Styela clava: one gene and its partners. Each later gene encodes a partner of the first gene's protein in a complex. Links are inferred from orthologs where the notes say so. Each region holds a gene or a part of one and is shown on either strand. Other genes may lie near its edges. The genes, in order: vacuolar protein sorting-associated protein 33A-like, vam6/Vps39-like protein and vacuolar protein sorting-associated protein 8 homolog.

Region 1 (10,633 bases):
CATTAGTCTAGCGATCAAAGTGTTACAATAAACTGTGTTGCCATCTCGGATTCTAATCTCATGCCCATCACCTTAAACAAGTTGTAATAACTGGAGTAACCAACGCCAAACTGAAAAGAGTCAGGTCCTCCCAAAAATTGTTCATCCTTAAATATTTTTAGATATCAATGGATGCTTGGGCACTCCAGAAGTAGGTATGTGTACCAATATGGAGGTAACTAATTTTATTTGCCTACTTAACATCAAGTTGTGTAAAGGGACTAAAACATATGGGCAGGGGGTATATTCGCTTGGCTAACACAGACAGTCCCGAACTCGTAATAGAACTAAAATACAGTAAGGTAAATCGGAATAAAATATGGCCTAACCTGGTACACATACTATGGGAGTACCAAAAAAACTTCAACACAAAACATTCTTTCAGTGTTGACCTTATGCAAATTAAAGTCAATATATCATAAACTCACATGTAGTATTTCTCGCTTGTAATAATCGAGCACCTTCGGCTTTAAACCATTATTGGTTAAATTTTGAAGGCATAAAAGTCGCAGAACTTTATGCAATGGTTTTTTCTTGAATAGACAATCCTCTATATAAGGATTCACTTTGTCTGTTCCGATTCCATTTAAAAACTCCTGTTCAACAGCTATTGTGTCTAGAAATCCCTCAGTGTCTGAAAATAAACAATTCTGATTTACTAAAACAAAATATCTTATTAATAGCACAAAAAAAATAAATAAATGTCGGTTTTAGTATGGTTTGATGATAAATTATACCTTAAAACTGAACTTCAAGAATGAGCCAGAACAAGCTAAATTGAAGCCTTCAAATCTAAGCATGTTGTAATTTATAGATAGAACCTAATCATTTTTTCATACTGATTCTGTGATTCATTTTTTTCTGGTCTCATGGACATGGTCAATTATCCCACTCACCGGTATTACTAATTTATCGAGAAAAAGAAAAATTGAACAATTATACTATTCAACAACAGGCTTGACAATGAACCCTACATGGGTTTCAAGTTTGAATCCTGTCGCGTAATTATATACGAAAGAATTGCTGAACTCATCTATGTTGGAAGGTGGTTCGAGAAACAGCTGGTCAGTTCAGTAAATCAGTAGATGTCCTCCACTCTCAAGTATATGCATCTGAACTGAATAACTATTCCCATATCTGACAGAGACAATAGACCGTGGTTCACCATATGATTATGCCATCATACCATCTTTTCTTATAAATAGAACATGAAAATTGTTTGAAAGTCTCACCAGTATGTTCCTTGATTAATTCTGCTATTGATGTGTGGCTCGCTAAATTTGCTTTTGCCTGTTGCATTTGTGGCAAATGGGAAACAAACTTCTTAATTTCACCAACTGTTTTTGCTGCGTGCCTCTCCTATAAAATACAATGATATTTTATGAAGATTTTACAAAGCTCCGAATTAACCTCTCACTAATGTTTCTTCGCATGTACATGAAATAAAGAACAGTGTGGTTATTTTGGATTGGTGACAAACGAGTATCAAAAATCTTGGTGTCAAGGTGATGCCGTTCCTGTGGTCGCCTCACTTGCCAGTGCTCTGAATTGATAATTGGGCACTCCAGAAGTGTGTGTAGCCATATGAAGGTGACTAATTTTGTTTGTCTATTTTACATCAAGTTGTGTAAAGGGACTGAAATAGAACTAAAATGAGAAAAATCAGAATAAAAAATTTTTGTTTGTAAAGAATCAGGTTGCCTCTCGAGTAGTTTAAAAAATAACTTTATTCAATATTCAAACTTTTTACTTTGGTATGAATTAATGTTAGGCTTGGATCACGGGTATCGCTGTTCGAGAAAACATTGTTTTTCACGCCTCCCTTCACCTTAATTGCCATTTTTACTTTATTTTATATTCTGCTTGTACAAACTGTATTTTCAGTAGGGTGAAAATATAGACTAATGATTACTATGTTAGGAGTTTCCACACATAAATAAAACAGTACCTCAAACTGCTCAGTAATCTGCTTTGCTGTCACTTTCAAAGTGGGGCCCACGGCATTGAAGTTTCTGTCTCGTAGTATTGCAAATAATTCATCTTTGGATGAGAGTATGATCTTCTTCGGTTCAGTAGTGCCTCCATCATTTTGACCTTCTTTGGAAAACTTTTCAGGTGGAAATTTTGCAGTTGCTGAAGGCATAATAAAAGATAAGGATTACAAGTAAATAGGATGCACTTGACTTCTATACAGAAAACAAAACTTCGGGTTGTAGAAAATTTCAACTCCATCTCCAGGAAAATCAAATTTTGATGACACAACTTTGGCGTATGCAAGCCTTCATTAATAGACTGCTAAGAATGATTACTAAAACGGTACTCCCGTAGTATGTGTACTAGGTTAGGGTTAGGCCATAATTTTATTTCGATTTTCCTTATTTTAGTTATTTACAGGGATAGTTTAGGGAGTTCAGGTACTTTCTGTGTTAGCCAAGTGCATATACCCCCATGGGCTTCAGTCCCTCCCTACACAATTTGATGCCAAGTAGGCGAACAAAACTAGTCACCTCCATATTGGTACACATACTTCTGGAGCACCAGTAAAATAGATGCCCATTGAGTTTTAGTGAAAAGTTTTGACTTTATTTATCACCATTGAGAAAGGCTACAACTCCAATTAAAGACTCCAGGGCATTCACAATTTCCACTGTGGGGAGTTAGAAAAATACGTCTCCAGCTCCAACTCTGAATCCAGTGCAAAAATAATGAACTTTGACCCCAGGGCCCTAGTAGAACATGATCAAATTTAAAATATTAATCATCCTATACTTGCTGATCAAAAATTTACCATTTTTAATTTCATAAACTTCATCTATCAATCCTTCGTATGTCAGTTGGGTAACAAGCGGCGACAACAAATCAACAGAACGATCTAGAATCAATAATCTATCAATTTGTGGAGGAACCTCTCCTTCATCTTCACTACTTTTTGATTCAAGTCGGATTCTTTTCATAATTTCACAAACCATCTATGAATAAAAAATAAATTTACATTTAGTACTCGCTTGGTCAGGGAGGTGATATCCAAAGGTTATAATAATAAATATTTTATTTCATGTTTCGATGAAAAATTTAGCGTCATAGATTTATACAATGTCTGCATCAATAAAAAACTTGCTGTTGCATCTCTTCGACAAGTCTTATATAATCCTGCGTTGTGTCTTATTGGACGATTGAATTAAGGGTGGCCTTATTACGAAATTTTTTTTATCATTAAAAATGTTAGCATGTTCTTTAAAATAAATCATGAATTGGCGAAAATGACATGGTGTGTCACAATGGGTCAGTGGTTCACTATCCCTGTCTGAAAATAGATGACTAAGCCTATAAAAAATAAAGCAATATTTTGGAATTGCGATTGATATATTTCAATATTTTAATGGGATTTTATGTTCAAATGCCATCACGCCAAAATTAAATACTTATATGGTAAATTCTAATAATGTAACCATATACCAAATGTAAGATTATACACATAGAATACCTGGGCATATCTGCCTTTGCAATGAATATTTGGAATAATTCCAAACTGTTTCTGTAAGCTGTTCAATGCTCTAGCAACCAAATAAAGTGACGAGTAATCTTCATTGATTGTGCAGTCAAATAATGAAGAATAATGTTCCATAGACAGAAGATCGTACTCCAGAGGAATAAGATCAAGTCTGTATTCTTCTATATTTTTCAGCATGCTTGAAACTCCAAGTTCCTGGTAAAAATAAAAGCAATTTTATTTCATATTTAACCCATTGGGGGAAGGAAAGTCGACAAGGCAGTAATCATACGGCCACTCGTTTGATCGAAGAAATAATACCTCCAGCTTTTGAAGGCAAAGATAACTTTTCCACGGTACAAAGAAAACGTGAAACTCTTTTCCAAAGCCTGTTCCATCTTCCTCTCTCTGTATATTCTGAGCAATAAAGTCCATTTGATCTAATTTTGGCCTTGTTATAAATATAATATGCTGTACAGTAGATTTTGCAAGTTTTCCTCCAGCAAGTGGAAACATTCTCTCAACCTCATGTTCTTTCAGCAGCGGAAACTCAGCAATGAGACCAAATCGATCTGTGAGAGCATAGTCCCAAACCAATGCCTAGAAAGGTAATATTTTAATGAGATCATGGCTAAAGAGGATACATATAAAGCTGGTAATAAAACAATAGCCATCGCTTATTTTGATAATATAATGCGAATAGATTTTTATTCGAATGTAATATAAATAAATGTGTGCGGTTCAAGCATGTGTTGTCATAGTCTGTTCGAATCCCATGCCCGCAAACCTCATCAAGAGTGTGATGAATTGGGTAGGCAATGCTTAACAAGACAGATAGCGTTCCCTATGAAAAAATAGTAGTTCTTTACTGTAGTTAGATATCAATGGTTGCTAGGGCAGGGATTTGGTCGTCATGAATAGACATCATAAAACATGCGTGGTATGAAAAAATGAATGTTGCATGAATACATTCACCTCAAATTTTCGTATATATCATCTTGTGATACCAAAGGCTAATCCAATGGGCAGTCCGACTGGGTTAGTATGGTGTGATGAGCATGAAAAGTTAAACCTTCAATGGAGGCTAGATGGCACCCTGTTTAACATACGAGTTAATAATGTAATTTTTTCAACTTCCAAAATAAAATCCTATAGTAGATCTACCTTCGGTCCAGCACACTTGTCAAGTAAACGTAACAATTCTCGTCTTGCTTCTTCCCTGACCATTGCCAGGTTTACCACACCAGTAGAGAGATGAGATGCCATGGCACTGCTTGTGCCTTTTTCAAGGAAAAATCACAATGGCTTCAAATCAAATACCTAGTTACAATACAGCAATAAGCTTCATATTTCTTTAATGAATTATTTTGTAGATTATGAAAGCGTAAAAACAGTAAATACAAAATATAGGTTATGTATAAATTATGCTATCCTACAGCTGTCGGGCTGTACAGTCTTATGAGCAAGTCAATTATTGAAAAAACTAGCCACAATATGACAATACATACCAATCACTCAATAGTCTCTAATTTAGATATTTTTTGTTTGTTTTCATATGCAATGTCAATATATTAAAATCAGTTATTTGCAATAATACAACGCATTATTTATCCGCTGCATGTTCCATTTTATGCATTTAAGACAAACAAATTGTAGTTTTCAAAGGTTGGTGTAGCATGCTAAGGGTTAATGGGTTAGGAATATGCTTGACATTCTGACATTGCACCTCCTGACCTCTGATTACTGGATTATCATTCGCTGGTTTGAATGCGGTGGAGGACAATTAGGCTATATGCCAGAAGATTGCTGGATTCCCCTACTACGGTAACTGACCAATCAATCATTCTCCATCTTATGATCTAAGGGTGGGTTCACATAACTCAGTAACTCCTGGTCGGTATATTCATCTGTACGGTATATCTTCCTCTATCGTTAAGTCCATGCATCTCAAACAAATAACTGGGGTCTCGTGAAGCAAACGCCGTAACTGCTTAAGTCTGTAACTACCCCTAAACCAGTAAACAGAAATGTGGTGTGAAAATGAAGGGTCTAGTAACGTAAACGCCGTAATTGCTTAAATAGCGCCTAACAAAATTGCGATGAGAAATAAACGCCGTAACTGCTCAAATAAGACCCAACAAAAATGGGGTCTCATGTAGTTTCGTACCTAACATACTTCTAGTGGACGTAGCATAACAATTTTTATCTGTCAATCCTAACCCCCATCTGACTACGCCACCTAAAAATTACGTCAGTACGACCTCACAGTGACGTAATAGAGCCCTTCAAACTATACGAACTGTCATTCGAGACGGGCACCCGAAATCGAAGAGCTATTTCTCTCGTTTTCTCGTCGCAACGATCCCGATATGAGAGAGATGGATGACAGTTACCGGTAGTTCTTATTTCAAAGATTTCGCAAAATCCAAACGTTGTCGCATATTAAATTATAAGTCAAGTCGTGAGTGTGACTGAAGTGGAACACACTTGACCGTCTATGAAACCAGAATAATGCAATCTACAGGGTTGAGTTCTAAAGAACTCTGAAAAAAAATAGAGCAAAGTAAGTGCAAGTTATAAAATATCGCTTTTATTTCTTGAATATTAGGTGGGGTATATTCAATATAGCCTACATTCGTACTTCATAAAACTAAATGGGCATGCAATTATGAGTCTCTTTGTATTTGACAATTTAAATTGCCGTTTAACATTTTTTAGTTATATATATATGTATATATATTAGGTACAGTGATTGCTAACTCAATATATAATACGAGAATATCGGTCGGAGACCGAAGACTTATCGATCTTAGATTGGTAATTAGTTAATAACTCGCTAAATATACGACATAATCAACCCAAAATCAATAGGCTTCTGGTCCGAGATATGATGTATGCACATGCAAAATTTGGAGCAGATTCAACCTCGCATTCGCGAGATATCGCGTTCATCTAACAGACACACACACAGACAGACATACATACAGACAAATACCTATCAATATACTTACCGATCTTAAGATCGATAAGTAATAAGAAAACTAATGGAGACCGTGCCGATAGAAGTTTGATATTTTCAAATCTGCTATCTAGACACGTTCAATTGTCTTTATGGACGGGATGAGTAGATAGAATTCATCATTCAAATTTACTGGACTAGATCATCTGGGAGTTCCACAATTGTACGGTCGTGCCCCAAATTCATCTCTAATGTTGATTAGCATGCTGCCAAGACAAGTATAACTCATATATATTTAAAAAAAAATTCAAGAAATTTATTTGAGTGAACATGTAAAGCAAAAAAATGAATATATCTGATCTGTTTATTAGTCTATTTCGCAAGAAAAAGTATCTATTCGGCAACGATAAGCCTAACTGATATATATATATATATATATATATATATACTTTTTTTTTCTAGGATAAATCTTGAATTGTAGAGTTTTGCGAATTATGGTTGTAACTTCTAAGTTTGAATCACTTTCTAAGTATAAGCAGCGTTTTGAAAGAGATGATACAAAAGTTTGAATCACTTTCTAAGTATAAGCAGCGTTTCGAAAGAGATGATACAAAAACAATGCAAACTTTAAACTCATGACTGATGTACTTACGTAAATTACAATTTACTCCTGTCCAGCCTTCATCGCAGATGCATAGGGGAAGGTGGGGCACGTTGGGACATGGGGCACAGTGGAAAATCAGCTCTCACACTAATACTATATCCGCAATCCTGTTCGCGGTTCGATGTTTCAATCCTCCCTTCGGTGAGTTACAACGTCCCCGCGAACGGACAACGGACGGGTAGAGCGGCGCAAGCTATGAGGTAAAATTGGTTTGGGGAGGTTGGAACTAAAATTTCACCGTTCCATTTTTTTCTTTTTTCGACTTTAGCCTTTCCAACATGACAAACCACCGTCTGATATTTTTCAGCTTCAGTACACTTTAAAATATTCATAACGTTGGCAAGTGGATGTGCCTTCCGAATTTCGCCGTGGGATGGTCTGAAAATATTTGTTTCCTATGGAGAACAATGGACCGGGGTTCAGTGGGACATGCCCTACAGGGCACAATTCGAGAGTGTTTGATACAATAAGTGCTTAGAGACCAAGAGATGCTTTATTTTTTGTGTAATACCTTCATTATTGTGATACATTCATTGTATGCCTCAGGCAGAGATGGACAAGGTTTTAGGACTAGGGACCAAAAAGTTTGTCCACTTAGACTCGGGGGGTCATGTAAGTGTGACGTAAAAAGTTACAATATGAACAATATTTACAGTGTTACAAAAGTGGAAATGAATAAGCCTCGTGCCAAAACTAAATTTAATCGCAATCTTAACAAATTCCGTGAGCTATTTTTTTTTTAGCTTAAATATCAAAACTCAGCTTTAGTTTGGTTGTGGCAGCATCAGGCGAGACGGATTGAATTACCCAACGAGCTGGATTTGGCCAGCGGGCCGTGGTTCGCCATGTCAGGTGTAAGGTCTAAAGGTCAAACACATGCAAAAGATCTATTTCATAATGCAAAAATCTAATTTTTTTAAAACACACCGAATCATTTGTAGCATAATAACATAATTCATGTAATTGCGGCTATGATTCAATGGTCTAAAAGTATTGATCTAGATACAATAAATCGTCAATAAAAGTGTAACAATTTTGTTGACCATCTCCATGTATATTTAGTAAAAAAAGCGTCATTATTAGCGTAGATACCCATGCCTAATGGTTTATTTGGTTTGCAAAAGCTGCTGAATGGCGACAACGCTTTGTGATATGTCGCGAAAGATCTGAAGTAATCTTTTTACCTTGTTCATGAATATCTATTTCTAGCATGTTAGTTAGATAATTCGGTAGAACCATACGGTATTCGTCGACAATACTTAATTATGTATACATTTTTTTTTGAATCTGATATTTGTACTGTAGCAAGTAGGTACTTAAGAATAGTGACTGTGTATTTTAATATTCTTTATTGAATGCCAAATGTTCGTATATTCTAATGATGCCCAATCCAATAGCTCGATACCCAGCTTTGGTTCCCCGCGGCTTCCATTCCCCAGTAAATTGTGTGATTATATTTTTCTCTCGAATATTGTATTGGATTGATTTTTTTCTGGTAGGAAAAATAAAATTGAATTGACTTGTTTATTTAATTCTTGACTTCTTCCAATAAAAATGGAAACAAAATATTTTCATTTTTTCGATTTTTTATTTACTACCGGACTCCACCCTGTCCGAACTAAACGATTACTTTACTACCCAACTCCACCCGCTAGCCCTGTGCAAACTACCTGTTTCAACCCCCTCTGCTCCCTATGCTGACTAGTGGCAAATCATTCGGACAATTTTTCTGTGTTTTGGGAATCTGCGTAAACACAATTTCACGATATACGCTAGAACAAGCGTCCGGTTAAAATCTGTACGCATCAGTTTTGACATCACTTCAATACTGAAAAACGCAATTTATTTAGTTCCAAGGCTCCCAGAGGGTTCGCGGACCCGAGTTTCAGAACCCTGCACTTACACAGCTTATTTTGTAGATATGGGTACAAAAATAATTTGGCACTTCTACTATGAACAAGGATGTGGGCTTGCAAACATTGAAACGTGTTAACAAGTACAGTGAATCATTTATGAAGTGTGCTCGCACCTTCATCGAAGCTGAAGAAAAGTGAATAATGAAAGTATTCAACGTGGCAGTGAGAATTAATGATGAATGCACATATAATTTCCAGATTGCGAACGGTCCAGGAGAATCAGTCCACGAATAGTGTCTACCTACAGCAAGATAATAAAAACCAAGAGCAGTCAATTGTGAGGAATGTTGAAAAGATTTCTTGATTTAAATCAAATATTGTTTCTTGTTCAACTTTGTCGAGGCATTTTACATTGGTGATCATTAGGTTCACCTTATTGCTCTTATTTCGCTAGTAATTTTTGTTTGACAATGTTTTTCATCGCATTTACTCGTATATTCTTCCTCTTGACTAAATCCGCGCAGAAGGTGTTTTAAAAAATACCGAAAAGTCCGTTTATTAGTAATTATTTTGCATTTGATCAGAACTCAGAAGTGATATAAATTGACCAGACATGATGTTCTATAATAATTTAAGGTCATAATAATGCTTTGCGCGAATATATTCACCTTATTGCTCTTATTTCGCTAGTAATTTTTGTTTGACAATGTTTTTCATCGCATTTACTCGTATCTTCTTCCTCTTGACTAAATCCGCGCAGAAGGTGTTTTAAAAAATACCGAAAAGTCCGTTTATTAGTAATTATTTTGCATTTGATCAGAACTCAGAAGTGATATAAATTGACCAGACATGATGTTCTATACTAATTTAAGGTCATAATAATGCTTTGCGCGAATATATTCACCTTATTGCTCTCATTTCGCTAGTAATTTTTGTTTGACAATGTTTTTCATCGCATTTACTCGTATCTTCTTCCTCTTGACTAAATCCGCGCAGAAGGTGTTTTAAAAAATACCGAAAAGTCCGTTTATTAGTAATTATTTTGCATTTGATCAGAACTCAGAAGTGATATAAATTGACCAGACATGATGTTCTATAATAATTTAAGGTCATAATAATGCTTTGCGCGAATATATTCACCTTATTGCTCTTATTTCGCTAGTAATTTTTGTTTGACAATGTTTTTCATCGCATTTACTCGTATCTTCTTCCTCTTGACTAAATCCGCGCAGAAGGTGTTTTAAAAAATACCGAAAAGTCCGTTTATTAGTAATTATTTTGCATTTGATCAGTACTCAGAAGTGATATAAATTGACCAGACATGATGTTCTATAATAATTTAAGGTCATAATAATGCTTTGCGCGAATATATTTATAACGTCATAGTAATAGACTGTAACCTGCACCCAAGGCATGCGCAATAGTCACTTGGAGTTTATAACTTAATGCTACGTGCTGCTTTATACTGTTCTTTATTCAATCCGATGTTTTCAACAATACGAGCTGTGTTCCTGGAAGTCTCGAGTATTGTATTCATTTGTTTATAGCAACGTCTTTAAGTGTCCTGACAATAACCCAACAAGACACGTGATTACTGGATGAGTAGATATTTAGCCCAAATGTAA
Region 2 (11,050 bases), on another chromosome or scaffold:
TTTCATGTTTGCAGATTACTGCGATATATTTTTATATATACCATGAGTTACGTTATCAGAATTAAATTAACACGGCAAGCATTTAAAATAGTGCTATCGGTCATGGATTTGAACATTTTGCGCAACACAAAATCATCCTAGTAAAAGTCCATACTTTTGAATACCAACCATTATCCAAATTATTTGCCAAAAAGCGGGATAAAGTATAAATTATATTTCTGACTTGCGACAATTTTTTCGTGAGTACGTATATACGAATGTGAAATTAATTATATTCGGGCACTTCAATGTCCGCATATATATATTTTATTATTTTATAAATACGAAAATATGAATCAAGAATTAATTATAATCAGGCAATTTACCACACATTTTAAGTCCATGGATCACCGTTGTATTTTGTAAATACGAAAATAGGAATCAAAAATTAATAATAATCGTGAAGTTGACCACACAAATAAGCATAACAACTGAGCATAACATATAAAAAATTAACAGAAATCGAATCCACGAGGACATTGTCTCATAATTACGAACAGAACAAACATTAAATTAACCAATTCCTAATATATTAAATTTTCAAGTATTCCTCACTATCCGTCGGAAGAAATTTCATCCACTTCTTCCTTTTAATGTTTAGCTTTTTAGTGACTTCAACCACCTCATTATTCGTTGAAAGAAATTTCATCCGCTTTTTCCTTTTAGTGACTTCAACCACCACATTATTTGTCGGAAGAAATTTTATCCACTTCTTCCTTTCAGTGTTCATATTTTTAGTAACTTCATCCACCTCACCAGCCGTCGGAAGAAATTTCATCTCCTTCTTCCTTTTAGTGTTCAGCTTTTTAGTGACTTCAACCACCTCATTATTCGCCGGAAGAAATTTCATCCACTTCTTTCTTTTAGTGTTCATCTTTTTAGTGGCTTCAACCACCTCATTATTTGTCGGAAGAAATTCCATCCACTTCTTCCTTTTAGTGTTCAGCTTTTTAGTGACTTCAACCACCTCATTATTTGTCGGAAACAATTTCATCCACCTCTTCCTTTTAGTGTTCATGTTTTTAGTGACTTCAGCCACCTCACCACCCGTCGGAAGAAATTTCATCCACTTCTTCCTTTTAGTGTTCAGCCTTTTAGTGTTTTTTAATTTTTCACCTTTGGGAACACTCCAACTTCCGTTTTCCCTCCACTTCATCCGTTTCTTCCTTCAGCCTTTTAGTGTTGTCCCAAGACAGGAGTGTGATTTTGCTTGGCTGTGGAATGAATAATTTTTCAGCGGGAACAGGAATTGAGGTGTTTTTCATAAAAGACTGGTATGCCAGTGCGCCGAGATGTCGTCATGGTAAGACAGTAAGAACTATATTTTGTATTTGCGACTACCGATACTGTATTCTGGCATTATTAGGCCATTGTGCTATAATGAACGAGAGGCCGTGGTTCGTCATGATTAAGCCGTATTATCGTCTTTCATCTCCCCCGGTATAAATATGTAAATCCTATCCTAATGTTACTTGTAACAAGCTTATTCCTAGCGTTAAACACGTTTTGAAGTGTGTTAAGCACAGAGCCATCCTGAACTTTAGATTTTATAGGGATACGGTACTGAGATGAAAATTTGCAGGTGCATGATATCGTAAAATATGTTAAATATTTTCAGGACCAATGTTGTTGTTTGAAAAATTCATTCATGGAAAATGTCAAGGGAGACGGTATTACGCATGTTCCGCATGCAGAAGTCGCAAAGAGTGTGATGCATTCCTGTATGAAGATGATTATAACAGAAAAAATAAGTGTGGAAATGAGGTACCGTGCAGTTTTGAGTTTTTCGTTAATCACATTCTGTATTGCCATTTACTTTGATACCTGGTTAATCTCAAAGTCATCTTTATTAAAATCACAAAATTATTGGTTCAGGATGATTAAGCTTTGCATTTGTCTTATCAACTACAACCAATAGAAAACATATATTATGAACTGATGTATGGTAAGAGAGTTCGTTGGTCCCAGAAATCTTTTTATTGTTTTTCTATAGGCCTAGCTATTATTTCTGAAAATTTTTATCTGCTTCAAGTCTACATATGGGCATTACATAATTGGAAAACTGAAGTAGCGAACATGCTAAGAGTTTGACTTATTAAATGTCGCATGCAACAGTATCGTGTCCTCCTATTGTTTATAATATGATCATAGCCATTATCTGTGGTATGGACTAGATAATAATGATGAATATTGAAAATTGTCAAGATTTATGAAAGCATCAGATGAATTTGTCTACCAAAACAATGAATTCCTATTTTTAGAGCTTTTATCCTTGCATCTATTCTCAGATACATATTGGACAGCATCAAGATGATAGTTCTCTTCTATATGAATGCACTTTCAAGGGTTTGGCATCATTGTCACCCTCTGAGAGATCATTTTGTCGTAACTGCCAAATCGTAAGTCCCATGATGTTCATATTGATATATAGCCTACTTTACATCCGTATGAAGATAGACAATTTCTCATCTTTGTCTAGAAACAAATTGGAAAACTATTCGCTTGCAACATAGCTGTCATTCCTTTGAAGTGCCATGTTTGGGAAAAGTTGAGATCACTGCAAATATATATGTATAGCTATCATTCATTATCTATGTATTGTTATTTCTGCAGTTTTGAAATGAAGTTGAACATAATCCCACTTCTTAGTTGTATAACGCTAAAACTTTTTCTCTGTAGGTGAGATTGGAGGAATGTAGGCAAAAACCTACAGACAAATGTTTTCAACATGATATCATTAAAAGCTTATCCCTTTTCAATTTATTCCATCCTTCAAGAGAAATACTGCCACCATTACAAGAAGATAAGAAGAATGCGGTATGACATTTTATTTCTCTGAATAGGGTTGTAAATGAGGTTTAAATCAAATAATACTTAATAATGAAATTTGTTTTCCATATTTTTGAAACAATGGAGACTTCCTTAAAACGCTATGAATACATCTTTGACAGGACTTTGTCCAAAAACATGGTTATAGTAACTCTGACACAAAACATTTTCCATTTCCTGGTTTTTATCATATAAAATTACAATACAACAACATTTTATTGCTTCACTGACTGGTAAGTTGAGTGCTTACAGTAAATCCAAATTTTTTTAACAGCAATATTTCCTGAATGACCGAAGCTTGAACTTCATTTTAGATATTTTGTTACAACTGAAATTCACACATATCGTATGTATTGGAATGCCTTCACTTCATGAGGAAATTCAATACAGAAAGTATTTTTATCATAAAAACTCTGAAGATGTAACAACAATAATTGACAGTATTTTGTTAGACATTGACAAAAGATATGTAAGTTTTTATTGCATTTCATAACTACATTTTTCAAACATCTTTTAAATATAAGTTAACATTTTCAGGAACAATTCTCCGACCAGGATAAGTTTTGTCACTTTAATATGTTCAATCACTATTTCATTGATGAAAGTTTTGATAAACTGCGTAATTTTGTAGAGAAATCAGAATCACATTCAAGGATATGTTTGGTATTGGATCCTCCCTTTGGTGGACTGGTTGATGCCATTGCAAATAGTAGGTTGCAAATATTTTTATGTATTTAAGCAGTGTAGATAAATGTTTTCTCACAAATTGTTTGTGGTAGGTTACTAGATTACTTCTTTAGGTTACTTATTGAACTTGCAAAATTCTGAAGACCTTTTGTGGATTTGAATTTATTATTGTGTTGTGTTTCAGCTTTGAAGTGGATAAGTTCATGTAGTTTTCCTGAAAATTCAAAGTCCTCTAAAACTGAAAATTTGCTGCCAATATTGTGGATATTTCCATATTTCATGGAAAAAAGAATAACTGGAGCATTGCCATCACTACATATGCTTGATTACCAGGTATGGTCAGCTATGCTACGCTTTGTTAGTTAGATAAACGGAAACTTCAGTACATACTTAAGTCTATTAAATTACAAAAAAATCTTTGCAGGTGAACTACAATAATCACAATAAGTTTAAGAAGAAAATCACAAGCACTAGAATATCACCTGTAAGAATTTTTACCAACATTAAAACGAATGACATAGTGTTTCCAGTTGATGAAGGATACAGGTTAAAAACATTTTTTGTGATACCAACCTATTATGATGTTCCTTAGTGATCTTATCATGCACTTAGAACAATTGTCTAGTTTTGTAAATTAGCATCTGGATGGAATTATCGCTTTACATTTTACTTTTGTGACCTTATTTGCAGCAAGCTTTACAGAATTGATCATTTATTTTAGGTTCTGTTCTCGATGTGATCGATATGTTGCTGAATCAAATAAACATTGCAAAATATGCAATAACTGCCCATCAAAGGTATTGCCTTTTCTATTCAACTGATCATAATATACTGCATGTCTGCATACTATACTTGATAGTATTAATGATCTTGTTTTATATTTTTAGGATGGGAGAACTTATGTTCACTGCAATGAATGTAATTTCTGTGTAAAACCAGGCAAGTATCATTATCATCATTATACTAGGGAGGGAACTCATTGCATGAATTTCTGCCCTTTCTTATTTGTTAACTTGTATTTTTAGGTCGGAAACACTGCAAAAATTGTGAACGTTGTGAACTGGATGGCCATGAATGCAGGAAAACTGGATATCTGCTAGGTTGTCATCTATGTGGGAAGTTGACTCACAAACGCAGAGACTGTCCTTTAAAGAATAGCCAAAAAAACAATGATATATTACCAGCCAAGACTATAAAAACCAAAGCAAACCATGCCGTTTTTCACAGAAAATCCTCACATTTGAGGAAAAGGAAATATACGTTTTCTTGATGTCAAGACTGTAAACTACTATATTGCGACTGTGGATATTATAAGAATTCGAATATTCTAAATTGTTAATTATGAAATCCTTCACGTTACATTGAAATCTTTGTAGAATAGCATCATTTTTCTATGAGATCTTCCATTTTGAAAAATCGATTTGTCCTTTTATTGGGAATATGGGAAAATAATGAGGTAGGTCTCAATATACTGTAAGTTGAAGGTGTGCGAAAATAATTCTTGACCAAAAAGAAACGGGTGCTAACCCTATCGTTCATGGATATTGCGCTATTAATATAATTATACACACTTCTCGTCATTTTGATCGCAAGCGAGAAAAGAAAACACAATCGTTATTGAGGGTTTTGTCAGTCGAAGAATGAAAATCTTTGTGTGATATATTTTTACACCACATTATTTCGAATCTACCACAATTGGCGATTATTTATTATTAAACTTAAATTATTTTGTTTATTACTTGATCCCTAGACTTGCGGAACGCTTGCCAATAAGCATTAACGATGACTTGAGGTATGATAAGCTTCAAAAGACATAGACAATCGAGGGTCTTGCAATTTTGATTGCCGTGTGTGGATTGCGACGCTGTTGGTTGTTGAGCTTTGTACGGTAATCCGTACATTTTTGTAATACCGATGCGTCTTGCAGTCCAGTGCGCCTTACGTTTGAATACAAGATCAACGACATAATCACACTTTTTCTTCTGCTCATCCCAGGATACCATATAATTTTATTATTTTAATTTACATTGGAAAATCCATGACATGGTAAAATGGCTTCTCTTTGTACCTTATCATTACCTATCCCACTGTACCTTTATACCTTTCTAATCTTCTGGCTGAAATGCAACCATAATAGGTTTTGTGGAAATGCTTTTTATTAATTTTTTTTATTTTTTGAAACTTCATCGTTTTTGGCTGAATCCAGAATTCCAAAAAAAAAACTTACAATAGTGAGTCATTTGATACATATCTTTATCATATTTCACCAAAACCTGTAGGGTCACATTTTCTACAGGGGTGGTGACTTCTCTACGACCCATGGGCCGCGGCCACGGCCCATCTAATTGGGCCACATGGGCCGTGGCCCATCAAGCTATGGGCCGCGGCCCCATCAGGAAAAAATTCAATTATCTTACCGAAATTTTCAATTTTTACAAAATTGTCAATATTCGAACCAAAAAATGAACTCCTGTAGTATGTGTACCAGGTTAGGGTTAGGGCAAAATTTTGTTCAGATTTTTTACATTATAGTTCTATTATGAGTTTGGGGACTGTTTGTCTTAGCCAAGTGAATAGTTTCTTTACACAACTTGATGGGCCGCGGCCCATAGCCTGATGGGCCGAGGCCCAATTTGATGGGCCGTGGCCCCGGCCCATGGGCCGAAGAGGAGTCACCACTTCCACTCCACATTTTGGCCAGAACAGCCATAGACCACTTATAACACTGTCGCCCTTGAGTGGTGCATACCATATATGTACACACCCTTTAAACTTGACCATTCCCGCGTTTTATAGTATGTGGTATCATCACTCAATGGTGTTGTACATTCATCCAAATTCTTAATTTTTTTTTATTACTATAGTCATATGCAGTGTTTCATGTTGTGTAGTGTCTCTATTTATAGAAGTTGTTTTGTCTAACAAACTCCTTTGTACAAACAGTTTTGTACACTCCACCCTTATCCCTGTTAGCGCATCCACCCACCCTCCTTGCACAACTGCCTGTATAAAGGACCATATTGTACATATTTGATTTACCCTATTATAATTTATATATATCAAAAGGGGTGTATGCCGCACATTTGTGTTTCAGGCCAATATGGTCTTGTGCATACATCCCGTCTTCAGTATTTATAATTACTTACTCTTTTATATTGCTTTTACGAGAGGAATAAACATACATACATACATACATACATAGACTAGCCTGAAATTCTTTACCGGTACTTTTAAAAAACAGATTGTTGTATGCGATGAATCATAATGATGTTTTGAAACACATACCCCATTTTACAGGCGCCAACTTGCAAAAGCACTCCTAAAATAGCCCCGAAAATTTTGCAATGGTAAAATATGTGAAGAATTTTTCGGGGGTCAAAGGTCGGGGAAAGGTCCATTATATCATGGTCAGTTAACCATGATTATATTCAACCTGCAAAGAAACACTGCCGCTGACGCCGCCAGCGGCTCGATTATTTGCTGGGTATTAATGAATGCCTGCAGCGGTGGCCGGTGTATAGCTGTATAGAAGTCGAAGATAGCAAAGTGAGTCACTTTGAGAGATAGGTCAGTAGGTAGTGTAATCTAGCACTGTGACAGGCGGACTTTTACTTGCTAACTTTTGTCAATATTTCCGTGGACAAAGACCGCCTCCTAGAGAATTACCGTCGGAACAAAATGCATGATGCATACATTTATTTACCGGTCCTGAAGAGTCTACCATTGGCTATTGAATGTATCGCTTGTTGGGGTGAGTTGAAATATTATTTTTGGTAACATCCCGGGATTTCTGTGTGATGGTGTGTTGATTTTTTTTTTGTATCTAGCGAAGCCCAATATAAATTATCAATCATAATTATAAGGTGTGAATGGTACATGTAACTGATCAACAAATTCAGAAATTATTGCAAAATACTGAAATAACATTTAAGACTGTTTAATGATGAAGGATGGCTTCATCAGGTCTGGTTGGATATGTAGATATCTAATCAGTAAGTTGTTCGAAATGCATTGACTATTTTCAGCATTTGACATCTGGTCACTGGGCCAGCTGAAAACAAGCTTATTTAACTCTTGACACTATCGGCAGTGTTCCCTCTAAGGTGTGCGCGTATGCGCGCGCACACAGCTTTCAGAGGCTGTGCACACGCATAGATTTACTGCGCACAGACGTATTTCGATGTAATGTAACAATGTTCTTTTGTTCTTTTTTCACCCTTTATTTGAATTCAAATAAAACCATCTGTTACAATCAATTTCATTTATTATTTTCCATGTATGTTCATTGTTATCTACTGATAACATATAGCCTTCACTAAAGCATTTCCAATCTACAGAAAAACTTATTGAATAACCAGAATTTTCTTAATAAGCCCACCTATTACCCGGTTAGAACGCCAAAATTTCTTCATTGGTTTTTGCACAAATATTAGTCATTTCCAGAAAAGTGCGCACACACCAAAATTTCGGCGCACACATACTACAAAAATTAGAGGGAACATTGACTATCGGTATAAATAGAAAGATGTCAAAACAATATATATGCCAAATATTCTGCATTTATCAAACTCAATGCTATGAACATACAAAATTTATTCAAATGTCTCTGTTACGTATGGCCGTATTTCATATTTAGAATATATTCAATAATCAAAAATATTATTTCATAGTGTAATCAGGATAGTAAAATTAGATTTGGCTTCCACGAGTGACATAAATTGCATCAGCTCACTGATTTAATGAGTTCTGCTATTTGTCTTATGTAGGAGAAGAGAAGCTATTCAAACAGAACAGATTTTCTATAAATGATGGAGATGTGTCAGAAAATGATAACTCAGCACCAGATCTCCCTAAAGCAACTTTGTTGGTTGGAACAAAGCCAGGACATTTGCTTGTTTATAGTGTGAGAATAATATATTCATCTAGCAAACATATGGGATTTTGACATTATTCTGCTGAAAAATTATTATTTTGTGGTTTCTCTCTCAAATTAAGTGATGTTTGAATTTGTTGTTTTTAGATTAGATGAGAAATGTACAATTTCATTTCTGTTATCTTTAGTAGTGAATATCGTTAACCCGCCTTGCCCAGTTCTGTTTTGAGTGATGATTCTTTTATTTTTTCCTGAATTTAATGCAATAGGGAAATGGCCAGTTCGGTTTGCAAAGTAGAGCTTTGCTTATAAGCTACTTTTGCAATATTGGCTGTTTGATAATTGGGAAAGCCCATTCTCTGATATACACTCCTCAATTAACTATCTAAATCTGATAAGCCTACCTAGTATTTTTAAATTTTTTGTTACAGGTTGAACATAATCCAAATGTACATAACAGAGCTGAAGTAAAGTTGGAACGATCAAATAGAACATTTTCAAAGAAACCAATTCAACAATTATTTGTCTGTGTTGAACTTAAATTAATATTAAGTTTGTCAGATTCCATGGTTTCTGTTCATGATTTGACAACATTCCAGTTGATAACTACCTTACAAAAATCTAAAGGAGCAGCTTGTTTTTCTGCTGATCTTGAGGTATTTTTGATTATTAACTTCTGTGAAGTAAATAAGATAAATAAAGATAACTCATCAAATCATTTTAACATAACAAATTATGATGGTTATTTAATTTGAATATTTCCAAATGATGTTGATATGTGGCTAATGATGGATTTATTCATATTTTTGTAAATTATTACTTTAATTATAAAGCCATAATATCTACAATCAGAATTCAGTTACGGTAATTTAATTGCATCCTTTAACAAGTTTTGACCATTATCCACTGAATACTGATTAGCTGTTAGCTCTGTAACAATGTGCAAACATAGAAACAACATGATCTTGAAATACAAACTTAAAATTTATCAGTCAATTTTTATATACAGTCACGAACATCCTCACAAGGTGAAACTGCTCACACTTTAAGATTATGCATTGCGGTCAAAAGAAAACTACTACTTTATTTTTGGAAAAATCGGAGTTTTCATGAGCTATGTGTGAGTATGGCTTTCACAAATATTTGTTTAATACGCCTAAAAACACGGGAAATTTATATCTCTGAACTAGTGGTAGGCTTCCAATAATTTCATCAAGGTTGTGGTATTTAAATGGTAAGGTATTTTTGTTTGGACCATGTGGTCTTCTTTAGCTTTCTAAATAACAATATTTAAATTCTTTATAGTTATTTGTAGAGAATATATATATATATACACTAGTGATATCTACCGGTAACTATTTATTCCATTTTTACAGCCAGATATCAGCATGCCTGAGATACCAAAATGTATGGCTTGGTGTCGTGATTCAGTTTGTCTTGGTTTCAGAAGAGAATATTTCATGGTTACAGTGAAAGCAAATTCTGTTCCATATGAATTATTTCCTACAGGTGAGATCAATGTATTAAGAGTGGGTGGATTGTTACTCTAACTCGTTGTAATACTGCGAATGCAAATTTTGCAGTACTACTAATGGTGTTGACTTTCAGGGAAGCTCATGGAACCAGTGATGACAAAATTAGATGAAAACAGATTAATTTTAATGAAAGATGATATGAGTATATTTATCGATAAAGACGGTACTGGTGAAAAACAAGTATTCAAGTGGTCAGATGCACCCATAGATATAGGTAAAGTAATATAATTTACCCATATTATTTAACTTGATTATATTCTATACCATGTAAGTGTAATAAGTTTTATAATTACCAATGTTTAATTTTCAGATTTTTGTTATATACTGTAATTAGGGCTGTCCAAGCGAACCGAATATTCGAAATCGAATCGAATCGCAAATTATTCGAATCGTTTTTCGGCTAATTTTCGAATCGCTAAAATTAGGTACCGGTACATAAAGCGGAAACCACCTTTACGGGATGTTTTTCATCGGGCAAGCGGCGGCGCTCCGAGCTCAGACCACTCTCGCTCCCGACTTGCTTAATTGGTTTCCCGATATTTCTCTCGCCTTCATTTTGTGATAAACATGTCATTACTAATGCCCGCCCGGTGGCACGTGATTAGCCATTTCATGCGTGGTCATCATAACAAGGTATAGTCGATCGTGACGTTTTTGAGAGAGAACAAGGAGAAAAAGGAGACAATTTAGAAAACGATAGTTGTATAAATAGAATCGATTTGAAGCTGTTGAGTTAGTTATCATAGGAACATGGTACAGGCAACTCAAAGCTGAAACAGGTGTTTTGGGATCCTTATGATGGCAATACCTTCTTTAAATGGAATTTGAAATTTCTCATGATGGCATTACTGTATTATCCATTTATATACCAAGACAAATAATTGCACTCTTGCATTTTGATGGCTGTTGTACACTAACAATATTATAGTCCTCAAATAATATTGTCATCAAACTAGCTTGGAATTTTTAAATGCAATTTTGAACTTGAGCAACAGTTTTATCTATATTGATGGTTGTTATTATTTTGCTGAAATTTACACAAAAAAACATAAGACTAGTGAATAGGATTAAAATAGCATCTACAGGC
Region 3 (10,796 bases), on another chromosome or scaffold:
CCGCGGGTCTTATTTTTAATCAGATGCGCGCGCCTTCCATAAACCACACACTCCGATTTACGGTACTTGCCACTTTCCCCAACATTTGTTACGTAACACAGTAATAATGTCTTTGTTAGAGCGTGTCATGCTTTGTAGAAACACTGTAAAAGCAAGACATCAAAACTTTACTTCAGATCAAAGTGCTTCTGTGCCGAGATTAACGCTGTCTCGCGGTCTCCCTAAAATCGCTTCACGGACCCCTAAGCGACCGCGGACCCCAGTTTGAAAACGAATGGTGTAAAAGGACTAGGGATAGCTGAATACATACTTCAGTATGGGGGCCCGCTGCTCAGTACAGTGCTCTGCACGGGAGGCGGACAGCTCAACTACAGGACTACGGTACTTTCTAGTGCAACGCTTCAAGAGGGCAGTAGGGTACCTGTATGTCGCAGTGGTGTAAATTTCGATTTTTAAAGGGCTCCAGTGGCATGGAAACACACAAATTTATGTGCACAAGTGACATACAGACAAATTTTGAAATCAATTTATAACAAAAATGTATCATCTAATTTCATATCATTTACGGTACTGTTTCTCTTATTTTTCAGGCTTGAATCGCGAAAATGACTAAACGTAGGCGCCATAAGATGGAAATAAAGGACAAAGTGTCCATGAAGGAAGCAGATAATGATAAAATTTTAAGTATTTTGGATAAATATGCTTCAGAATTTTTAGGTGAAACACAGCCTAAAGAAACACAACCCAATACCCCCATAATTCCATCCACGGTGATGACGAAAGAGGAAAATGATAATAAATTAAAAAAGGAAGTTGAAATTGTCATATTTAAAAGTAAAAAAACTAAAAATGAAGAACCGGAAATAAAAAAAGCATCACCAACTATTGTTGGTACAGACTCACAGTTCAATATTCCAAAGTCTAAATATACAAATGAAAGACTAAATTCTTCGGAAGTTTTAGAAAAATTAAAATTCAGCGTTGGCTCGTTTGGAATGAAGGCATTTTCGAAAGAAGAACAGAGAGAACATGAAAGAAAAAGAGCAATAAAACTTGGAGCAAAACCGACAAAACGGAAATATGTTAATTATAAAATTCTCATGGAAGAACAAAAAAGATTGAAACAAGATACAAGTTCTGGCAATAATATATTGTCGAACAATAGAACCGAATATAAAGAAAAGACGAGTGGCATGCCGAAATTCTGGAAACAAGGCGATAAAAGTTTGAATCCGCAAATTGGAAAATATAAGGATGGAGTTTTAAAACTTTCATCAAAAGATATTAAATCTGTAAACAGGCGCCGATAATAAATTCTGCTTATTTTGATATTTCCCATTGACTTGATGCATTACATTTTAAACCAATTCTCAGATATAGATCATGAAAGTCATTTCCAATAGAGCACAGTCTCCTGATGCCAAGATCTGTCTATATTTGGTTCAATAAAACTAACACTCTATTTGTCTCTGTAACGAGGGTGTCTGGTACGGCGGTAATTTGCGCCATGCTTGTCTCGATAATAATTTTACGTGTGTCTGCCATCATGTGACCAAAATATTTCTGTCAACATTTTTTTGCTAAAAACTCTTGAATCCTACAGTAAAATTTTTTTTTTTTGGTAAATTGTATTATTTTTGGGAATCCAATGGTCAATGGTGACATTTTCAGATTGTGTATCCTTCAGTTTATTTGCACAGTGCCAGTTTGGCGATATGGAGGCCCAGACTGTCTCATAAAGGAGCGGTTTGCATTCACTGGTATAATTGATGTCTTCTAATGTTGGGGTTATTCTTGAAATTGGAGAACTGTACCATACTGCATTTCTATTGATACTTTTGCAAGTTTGAGGAATGTGTAGTTGATCAGTGAACTAACATATAATTATACTCTTTTACAAGTGTAGTATACAAAAATGAATCAACGTGGAACGATTAATGTTATTCCAATGATTTTCATTTGTATTGGTTTCATACAAAAACACTGTATATTATCATGTTTAACTTTGGACCAAATGAGTTGAACTAGCATCTATTTGTTGTAATGTCAATAAATTCTCAGATTTTCAAGTATAAAAAAAGGAAATAAATTAATGCATGGAACGAGACGGCAAGTTTTGTGAATGGTTATTTCACAATTTTAAAGTATATCAATAATATTGAAATTGAATATTCATTCATTTTGATGGAAACTTCGCCCAACAAAATGATATCATCGATTTGAGACCTGTTGCCGAATATAACAATTTCATGCGAATGTTAAAAACTTTGTTGGGCATATTAAAAAAAAATGCATTGTAATACTGTTGAATTTGGTACGTCATTGATGTATGTATTACATTTTTGATTTACTATCCATATGTGGCCTAGCCTTAATTGAATAAACGAACTGTTACTTTAATATTTACAGGTTAATTCTTAATTATAATAAATACGATGGGATCATCTAAAAAGCATAAGAAAGACCATAAACATCGAAAGCACAAGCGTTCAAGTCCTGCATATGATGATGAAGAGAGAGATGAAAGTCATAGTCCAGAAGAAAAAAAAAGAAGACGTCATGACGATGTAGAAACAGAAAAATCATATTCTAAACAAAAAAAACATAAGAAAAAACACAAGAAACAAAGTGAACGAGATCGAGATTCTGAATCCCCCCAAAAGTTGGAATCTGAACGTAATGGTAAGTCAAGACAACATCATGCTGAACCCACTCCAACATCAGCTAATGGCGAAGGTGACTCACTCAGTATTGAAGAAACAAATAAGTTGAGGTTAAAACTGGGACTCAAACCTCTCGACGTCGGTGGATCTTCCGGTAATGCAACCGAATCAAAGAAAGAAGAATTTGTTCATGCTCCTGCTGAAGATTTGTGGGAAAAGAAAAAACAGGATGATATTAGAGAAAAACTACGAGCCATTAAAGAAAAAAGAAACTTAAACAAAAAAATGGGGAAAATCAAGACTTTGGGAGAAGAAAATGAAGATGAAAATGATGCGGTATCTTGGGTAGAAAGAAGTAGAAAAATGGAAAAACAAAAAAAGGTGGCTGAAAAACGAGAACAAGAAATGGCTAAAATGGATGCAGAATTTGGTATTGGTGGTTTAATAGACAATGAATTTGCCGATGTAAAGAAAGACTCATACACATCTCGTGATTTGCAAGGCATTACTGTAAAACACTCCTTAGAAATGTTCAAAGAAGGAAGATCAGAAATTTTGACTCTCGAAGATAAAAATATACTTGAAGAAGATAAGGATGATGTTCTTGTTGGTGTAAACTTGGTTGATACTGAAAAAGCAAAACGAAATTTGGACGTGAAGTCCAAAGGTTCTGGATACAAAGCTTATGATGAGGAAGAGGTTGATGAAATGGGATTTTTTAAACAAAAGTCTATGCTTTCGAAATATGATGAAGAAATTGAAGGAATCAAGCAAGAGAAATTTACTATCGGTAATTATGGAAAAGTTGATACGACTTGGGAACAACAAAAAATGATGATGAAAAATGAAATTAAAGCTAAAGGAGTCAGCTTAGCACTCCCTCAACTCAAAATTGCATCTGAATATTTGACTGAAGAGGAAATGACAAAGTTCAAAAAACGAAAAAAGAAAGTGCGAAAAGTAAGAAAACGTGATCTAAAACCAGACGATCTACAACCTCTACCGGGTAGTTCAACATCATCTGATTTTGGTTCTAGAAGTCGAAATCAACGAGGAAATATACCTGGATGGGATGAAGGTATTGAATCTGCAAAAGTGGATGACACAAGTATAACATCTACAACTTTAATGAATTCGAAGAAAAATGTCATTTTTGACGAGGATGATGCCAGTAATGAACTTCAAAAAGCATTGGACAAAGCAAGACGGGCAAAACAGGTTAAATCAAACATGGTTACTGAGGATGTCGGTGCCAGTAAAGTCGTCGAACATTTAGACCTTTTAAATAAAGTTTCATTTGAAAATCCAATGGCCAATTATTCTACAACTATATCTTTAAATTCAACTGATGAATTTTGTCGTCAGCTCGGAACCGCCTCAGATTTGAATGTTATTAAAGAAGTGCCTATGGAAGAGACTTCCATGGACGACAGCGTTGATATGGACGTGGAAGATGAAGAAGAAGAAGAAGTTACGTCAGGATGGAATTTTGTGAACGATAAAGCCAAAGTTAAGCCAGTTACACAGGCAGAACCTGTCGATGATAGACATGCACCTATTGAAGCCGAGCCTCTTGCTGTAGGCGGCTTAGCCGGTGCACTAAAACTAGCCACGAGAAAGGGTTACCTGATGGAAGAAAAACCAAAAAGCTCAGTCACAATAACTAGTAAAAATATTGACCTGCTTTCTGCAAACTATTCCATTGAAGACAAAAACGCAGTTGATCATTTGGATAAATACGCTCACGAAAAATACTCGAAAGACCGTAGTAATCGCTACGATCGTGGAATTGTAATGGATTTTGAAGAAAAGAAAAATTATAAACCTAAAGTAACTATCGAGTATGTTGATGAAGGAGGTCGATTAATGAATCCAAAAGAAGCTTTCAGAAAATTATCTCACAGGTTTCACGGCAAAGGATCGGGTAAAATGAAACTCGAAAAACGACAAAAAAAGAAAGGAGAAGAAGATATGATGTTGAAAATGAGTTCGACTGATACACCACTTAACACAGTAGCAATGATGAAAGAAAAATTACAAAGCGAAGCAAGTCCTTATATTGTTCTAAGTGGAGCTGGTAAAACATTGCAAGCTGGTGGTGGAGGGCTGAAGAAATGATTAGTATTATAATTGTGAGACATATGAAAAATGAAATCAATTTTCATCGATGCAAATCAATATTTTTGTGTTGTTGTCGGGACATTCTGTTGAGCCGTAAATCATTGCAGCTTCCAATACCTATTACAAAACACTTGCAGGGGTACCATAAACTTTGTCATTCTGATTATCTTATGCCTTCTTTGTAGCAGTTGATTGGCAGATCATATTATGAAAATCTTTTGATGTTATTTTGGGCCATATCATTTTAAATGCCTAAATTATTGTTAACATGCCCACAACAACTCTTGTTTTGATAACATTAGAAATGTACTCCCTGCTAGAAACTGCCCTGACTTGACTTGATTTATATGTTAAAAATGAAAATTACCATGTGATCCGCTGCTTATGTTGGGTGTTTTGCATTAGGATATTCTTTTGTCAGTGGTTGTTATCGGACATAATATGATAATATTTTAATTATTTTTAAACCTGCTATTCTGTTCTAAATTTCTCGCCTCAATCAACAAGATTGAATTTTGTATGGGTTATAAAGATTATTATTTGGTGATGGTGAATAGACACTGATAAGTTATTTTAGAAATGTTGTATAGATATTTGTTGTAAATTTTTCAAATTTCATAGGAAAGTAATACCAGAAGTACTAACTGTACAGGTATCTCAATCTAGTTTGATAGCACATAAGAAGACTCATTACCAGGGCTGGGAGTTATTATGAAAACACTTTTACCTTTGAAAATTGGGTGAAATATCACTTATTATATTATGTTATGATTATAAAACTGTTTGCCATAAATATTAGTTTGGAATGTTGAAAATTGTATATGGATCAGAAATGTCCATCTATTAACTAGACGATCTGCTTGGTCACTCATATACATTAATTATTTGGAATTTTAATACTGATACATGCGAATTAATTTTACTTCCTTTGGATGTCTGTTGATGTTTAAAATTACTTGTAACCATTAACCATCTAATAGTAGTTAACGGGTCACTATTCCCAGCTCTACTTATTACACCATGACGCAGTAAAACCAAGTTAGTTTATGTCACATTTTGAGAAAATCACAATTTTGTTATTCTCAGTTCTGTAATTAATGTGGTAAAATAGGAATCTGATATTCTTTACAAAACATCATATTACATATGGCACCTAAGACTGTGTGTTTGGGGACGCCTAAAACACACCACTATATGTATATATTCTACCCCCCATTTTGGACAAAGTTTTAAAATCTTTTAGGGTTCAAAACAACACTGGAATTAGGACATATTGGCATTATTTCTACCCTCGAAAGTCGGATAGTATCACAATATTCCACTCATCAAATGCCGAGCTATTGAATCCAAAAAACAACAGGTGCTTGTTATAAAAAATCAAAAAAGCCCATCTCTAAAAAAATTTGACTTAGGCTATCTTGTTTTTACTGTGGCTATATATACCGTACATGATTGTCGTATGTCTATCAGCCTGTAACAGAAATTAGTTCTTGATCAATTACTTTTGCTTAAAAACTGTACATAAGCTGGTTTGTTTTAAGTACATATTTGAATCCTAGACCAAAAGATGACCCTGATCCACAGTGAAAAGAAAATCCTAAAAGTCCATTAGTACTTTGGTTTTACTGCGGCGGTTTTTGCTTGTAAAATTACTGCCTATTTTCATTGATATCTGAAGCAGTAACTTATCTGGTTCTGATCTTAGATTTATTATGAATAGCTTCAGGAAAACAAGGAAAATTGAGTGTGATGTGGTGTATTACAATTGACTTTGCCATAACATCTTGGTATGATAACATGCATTATACATGTATTTTACTTTGTGATATAAGTTTTCGCAATCTAGTTGTCCTTTTTTTAGATCCTACGTTTGTACCTTTATTACGCTCGATCTTTTTTTATTATTTATTATTTGATAGTTAAAATAAAATGTTGCTCCATAGCTGAAATGATCTGATTGTAGCACGATGGACAAGCTTGAAACTAGTAATGGGAATATTCTGGAAGATTTAGAAGAGGTGAGTTTGATGAAGTCCTTTTATATTTAACAGATATTCTCTGTATATAGTGTTTACTTTTACAGTTATTTGCTAGTAATAGTTACATGATTTTCAATAGGGTTATATGAATTGTCATTTTGATTAATATGGTCAAGCTGCTATGTTGAGTAAAATATATTCCATTTTTTACACTTTGATATTTTGCAGTAGTTATCAACTTCTTTTTCCAGACCTCAAATTACAATGGGTTATTCTCGTATGGTACTCATTTGTGTATGGACCCAACACAATAATTTTAAATACACTTCAATATGTATGCATAATTAGATAGGCTACATATTTATATTAACAAGCATTGAAATATAAGCCAGGACTGAAAGACTGGTTAAAAATCACAATGGCTCTGACTCTGAGCTTCATTTTTTAACTACAGAGCTGGGCTTCATAGCCATGGGAAAAAATAATTCGATGGTTGGGAGCTGAAGCCACTAAAATTTCTGGTAGCTCCATCAATTATAGAAAGGTCAGCTTCGATTAAATGTCACAGATCTGGCTATGGATATATCATAAGTATGTATGGAGTATAAAATGGGTTAATGTTTACAAATCAATTTCTTTTGCAGCTTGATCCAACAGAGTTTGACATTCCTGATGTTGAAGAACCTTCCTTAGAAAGTATTTTGAAAGAGGCTGAAAGTGAGACTGAAGATAATGTGTCGTTGTTGGATAATATCACCAATGGTTTTTCGCCCACATCTACAGGTAACAACATTTATATAATTGCTTGAATATGTTTTTTGCGATTTGTTACTTTATCGCTTGTAGCAGGTGATATGAAAATTGTGAGGTGACACTGATAAAGAATCTCACTACACTATTTGATGTATCATCTTTATAAAAGAATACCGTATTTCCCACATAATAAGCAGACTTTGCGAATAAGTCTAGTTCTATTTTTATTAATACCCATTTTTTTTAGTTTCTTCATATTATTATCCAAAAAGCTGTGGGCGAAAAATATGCTTTACTTTTTTTTCTATGTTTGTCAGATGAGCACCAATGTACGCTCTATTTTTATTGATTCTATTTTACTCAACTTTTCCTTAGTTACATACATGCCTTCTCTCTCTTTGACATGAGCTTATGTGCAATAGCACCTTGTTTTCACTATTCACATTTTGTCAGGAACTCCAGAGAAAAACATATCAAATGGTTATCTTAAGAAAAGTGAGATGGCATCCCTGAGTGTTCTGAAATCATTAGAAACAACATCAATCAAAAGTGGAGACAGTCAGGCTTCAAGGTATGAAACCAACGATATTAAAATAAATGATTATAAAATCAGCTCAGAAGGTGATCTAGAATTGAACCAAATATGAATTTTTCCTAATATCGTGTCTTTGAAGAAAAATAACCGAATGAGATCTTCAATAGGTTGTCATCATTATAGGCATATTTCTATTGTAATGGGTTCTCATGGTTATAGGAATAAATCGCTATCTGTAGAAGTCAGTCTACTGGGTCTAGTGCAAGTATTATTCGTCAATAGTTCACTTTTCTATTTTGAATTTTGTGAAAATCTAAACATTTGACTATGCTAAATTCCGGAATATTTCCAAAATTATATATGTTATATTGTATGAAGTGACACAACTCACAAGATCAAGCTCCATTCTTTTTAGTAAAAGTTGGATTCATGTGCTGTATTTTTGGTTGTTGTTTGGTTGGCAAATACATCTGACATGACTGGCCCCTCGTTCTAAATTAAGCTTGTTTTTTATTGTTTCAGTGTAAAGAAAAAAGATGCTCCACAATTCCATGGACCTGTTCTTGCATTTTACCGAATGCAAGCTCTGTCAAATCATATCATGTCATCTGCTGATAGAATCAATGCTGGAAAGCCAACATCATTGGTATGTTATGTTGTTATAAGAAAGGAGTCAGTCTTAGTTACTTAAATTCTGTAATTCACATCTAAATATAAGGTAAAATTTTTAGCTAGATGAAAAGGCAGCCTAACGGGAAATTCCGTTATTTGGACTGCGGGTTGCTGAAGTTGTGTCACAAGTTTTTGTTTGGATTCTGTTTCTTACAGTTTAATTCCCCTTTTCAATGAAGAGTCACTTCACAGATTTAAAATATTTATATATTGGAAAGATTAATATGGAAGAAATCTTAAAATGTTACATTCAATTTTTGTATATAGATATGCCATTTTCGAATGTTTAATAGGTTCTTATATGTAAAAGTACTGTAAGATTGAATATATTTTTTACAGGCAGTTTCTCAGTTGATAGCCATTGGAACTGCTCATGGAATTGCTTTAGTATTTGGTAAGTTAAAATTCATATCTACAGTATGACTAGAGCTTCATAGATTATCATAAATTCTATTCGTAACTCCACTATGTCTCATATTCCTCACAGATAATGATCAGAAGTTAGTTCATGTGTTGGGTAGCGTCAGTGTTGGTAGCAAGTATGGTTCTGTGACTGCATTGGCATTCAATATGGATAGCGACAGACTACTAGTCGGATATGCAAGAGGACAGATACTCATGTATGACGTGAAATCAGGGAAATTACTCCGAACAATAACAGATGCTCATCCTCCAGGATCTTCTGTTTTACATGTTAAGGTTAGTCAAGGATTGTTGAAATGAAATCAACTACTACATATGTAGACTAACAAAATGAAAAAAAAGCTTAAGTTTTGACTTTTATTGTTAATATTTCAAGTTATTACGAATGAAAACTTCTCTAAATTGTCACATATCTTCATTTTTGTTTTCTGTTCGAAAATAATTTATATTTGGGATGTTTTTTTTATATAGTTTTAGCCATTTCTGGTGTTCAAAGTTGAGGATTAGGTACTTTGAAGGACTTCTAATCCAAAGCTGAATGAGCTCCCTACCCCTGGCTTAGATTTCAATGTGTGTTTACACAAATATTCTAATGTGTATTTGTCATTCATTCTGAAAAATATATAGCTATGCTCACTATTATTTTTATACCTATTGCTTCATTTCGCTAGCGAACAACTGTTCCTTAAGCTTGCTTTGTATACTATCTAATGTGGGTTTTTCTCTTTCAGTTTACTGATGATCCTACATTAGCAGTTTGTAATGACAGTGGTGGATCAGTGTTTGAATTGAATTTCAGGTTTGTGTGGAGTTTCATCAATAATGGTTATAAGTTTAAAATTAGGTATGTTTTGTTTTTTAATTATTTTATATTGTTTTCAGGAGGGTTATGGGTGTGAGGTCTTGTGAGTCAAGGTGTTTGTTTTCTGGCAGGTGAGGCATTTTTTTCTTGATTTATACCAGGGATGGGCCACGCATGTTTTTATTATTATAAAAAAGAATACGGGTCTTAGATATACAATCGAAGTTTGCATTAATAACAAACTTACTGTTGTATCTTTTCCGCTAGTCTTTTAATTCTTTGATTGCTGTTGTGTGTGGTGTTGAGCTTAACACATACAGCACTTATATCAGAACTGTGGGAATTGCTGGTATTCGATTTTGAGAAATTCATGTCCAAAACATAGTTTGCATTAATTGGTGACTAGGTGAATTACCGAAATAATAAGTGGGGTCTCCCTGTTACCCACCTATGGGTTAGTAGTTAGCTGGCCCTAATAGGCCCCCAAATCATGCAAAAAGAAGTAGTAATATAGAATTTGTGAATTGTCTATTACAGAAAAAAGCATTATTCTAAACGCCTTTAACATTCAGTGCAATTTTATGTATTATGTTTTAAGTTATTCAAGTTAGCAGCAAAATAAACCAATGGCTGTAATTTGATATTTAGTATGTTTGTTTTTATCGACAGTCGAGGTGAAGTATGCACCATCGAACCTCTCCATATTCTGAAAACAATTGCTGATCATCCATTGAGAGACAGACATTTGTTGGCAATGGGAACTTTGACAAAGGTGAGAAATCACTCTTAATTTTTTGCTATGCTGTATCTTGTGCCATAGAATGAATGGTTGTTTATTGTATTCAAGG

Evidence for each region.
Region 2: vacuolar protein sorting-associated protein 33A-like (region 1) and vam6/Vps39-like protein share a complex: the UniProt entries of both Drosophila melanogaster proteins name them as parts of the homotypic fusion and vacuole protein sorting (HOPS) complex. The link is inferred for Styela clava from reciprocal best matches to the Drosophila melanogaster genes car and Vps39.
Region 3: vacuolar protein sorting-associated protein 33A-like (region 1) and vacuolar protein sorting-associated protein 8 homolog share a complex: the UniProt entries of both Drosophila melanogaster proteins name them as parts of the class C core vacuole/endosome tethering (CORVET) complex. The link is inferred for Styela clava from reciprocal best matches to the Drosophila melanogaster genes car and Vps8.

Annotation. Positions count from the first base shown.
Region 1 is NC_135257.1:17,176,326-17,186,958, reverse strand, and holds the start of vacuolar protein sorting-associated protein 33A-like, read right to left. Parts: upstream 4,898-10,633; 5' UTR 4,796-4,897; coding exon 4,694-4,795; intron 4,130-4,693; coding exon 3,851-4,129; intron 3,746-3,850; coding exon 3,524-3,745; intron 3,009-3,523; coding exon 2,828-3,008; intron 2,173-2,827; coding exon 1,988-2,172; intron 1,399-1,987; coding exon 1,272-1,398; intron 674-1,271; coding exon 468-673; intron 1-467. UniProt on the Drosophila melanogaster protein: Core component of the class C core vacuole/endosome tethering (CORVET) and the homotypic fusion and vacuole protein sorting (HOPS) tethering complexes involved in endo-lysosomal vesicle trafficking and lysosome biogenesis.
Region 2 is NC_135253.1:11,145,301-11,156,350, reverse strand, and holds the start of vam6/Vps39-like protein, read left to right. Parts: upstream 1-6,994; 5' UTR 6,995-7,233; coding exon 7,234-7,306; intron 7,307-8,321; coding exon 8,322-8,458; intron 8,459-8,859; coding exon 8,860-9,084; intron 9,085-9,437; coding exon 9,438-9,548; intron 9,549-9,804; coding exon 9,805-9,937; intron 9,938-10,036; coding exon 10,037-10,177; intron 10,178-11,050. Other genes in the region: rRNA N(6)-adenosine-methyltransferase ZCCHC4-like, read left to right, coding at 1,261-1,342, 1,658-1,803, 2,328-2,438, 2,719-2,856, 3,143-3,337, 3,406-3,577, 3,740-3,888, 3,980-4,101 and 3 more. UniProt on the Drosophila melanogaster protein: Part of the homotypic fusion and vacuole protein sorting (HOPS) tethering complex involved in endo-lysosomal vesicle trafficking and lysosome biogenesis.
Region 3 is NC_135255.1:12,620,617-12,631,412, reverse strand, and holds the start of vacuolar protein sorting-associated protein 8 homolog, read left to right. Parts: upstream 1-6,660; 5' UTR 6,661-6,751; coding exon 6,752-6,802; intron 6,803-7,407; coding exon 7,408-7,546; intron 7,547-7,969; coding exon 7,970-8,087; intron 8,088-8,573; coding exon 8,574-8,697; intron 8,698-9,062; coding exon 9,063-9,117; intron 9,118-9,210; coding exon 9,211-9,422; intron 9,423-9,877; coding exon 9,878-9,945; intron 9,946-10,028; coding exon 10,029-10,079; intron 10,080-10,617; coding exon 10,618-10,720; intron 10,721-10,796. Other genes in the region: 40S small subunit processome assembly factor 1-like, read left to right, coding at 606-1,310; U4/U6.U5 tri-snRNP-associated protein 1-like, read left to right, coding at 2,436-4,781. UniProt on the Drosophila melanogaster protein: Part of the class C core vacuole/endosome tethering (CORVET) complex involved in endo-lysosomal vesicle trafficking and lysosome biogenesis by facilitating docking and fusion of endosomal vesicles.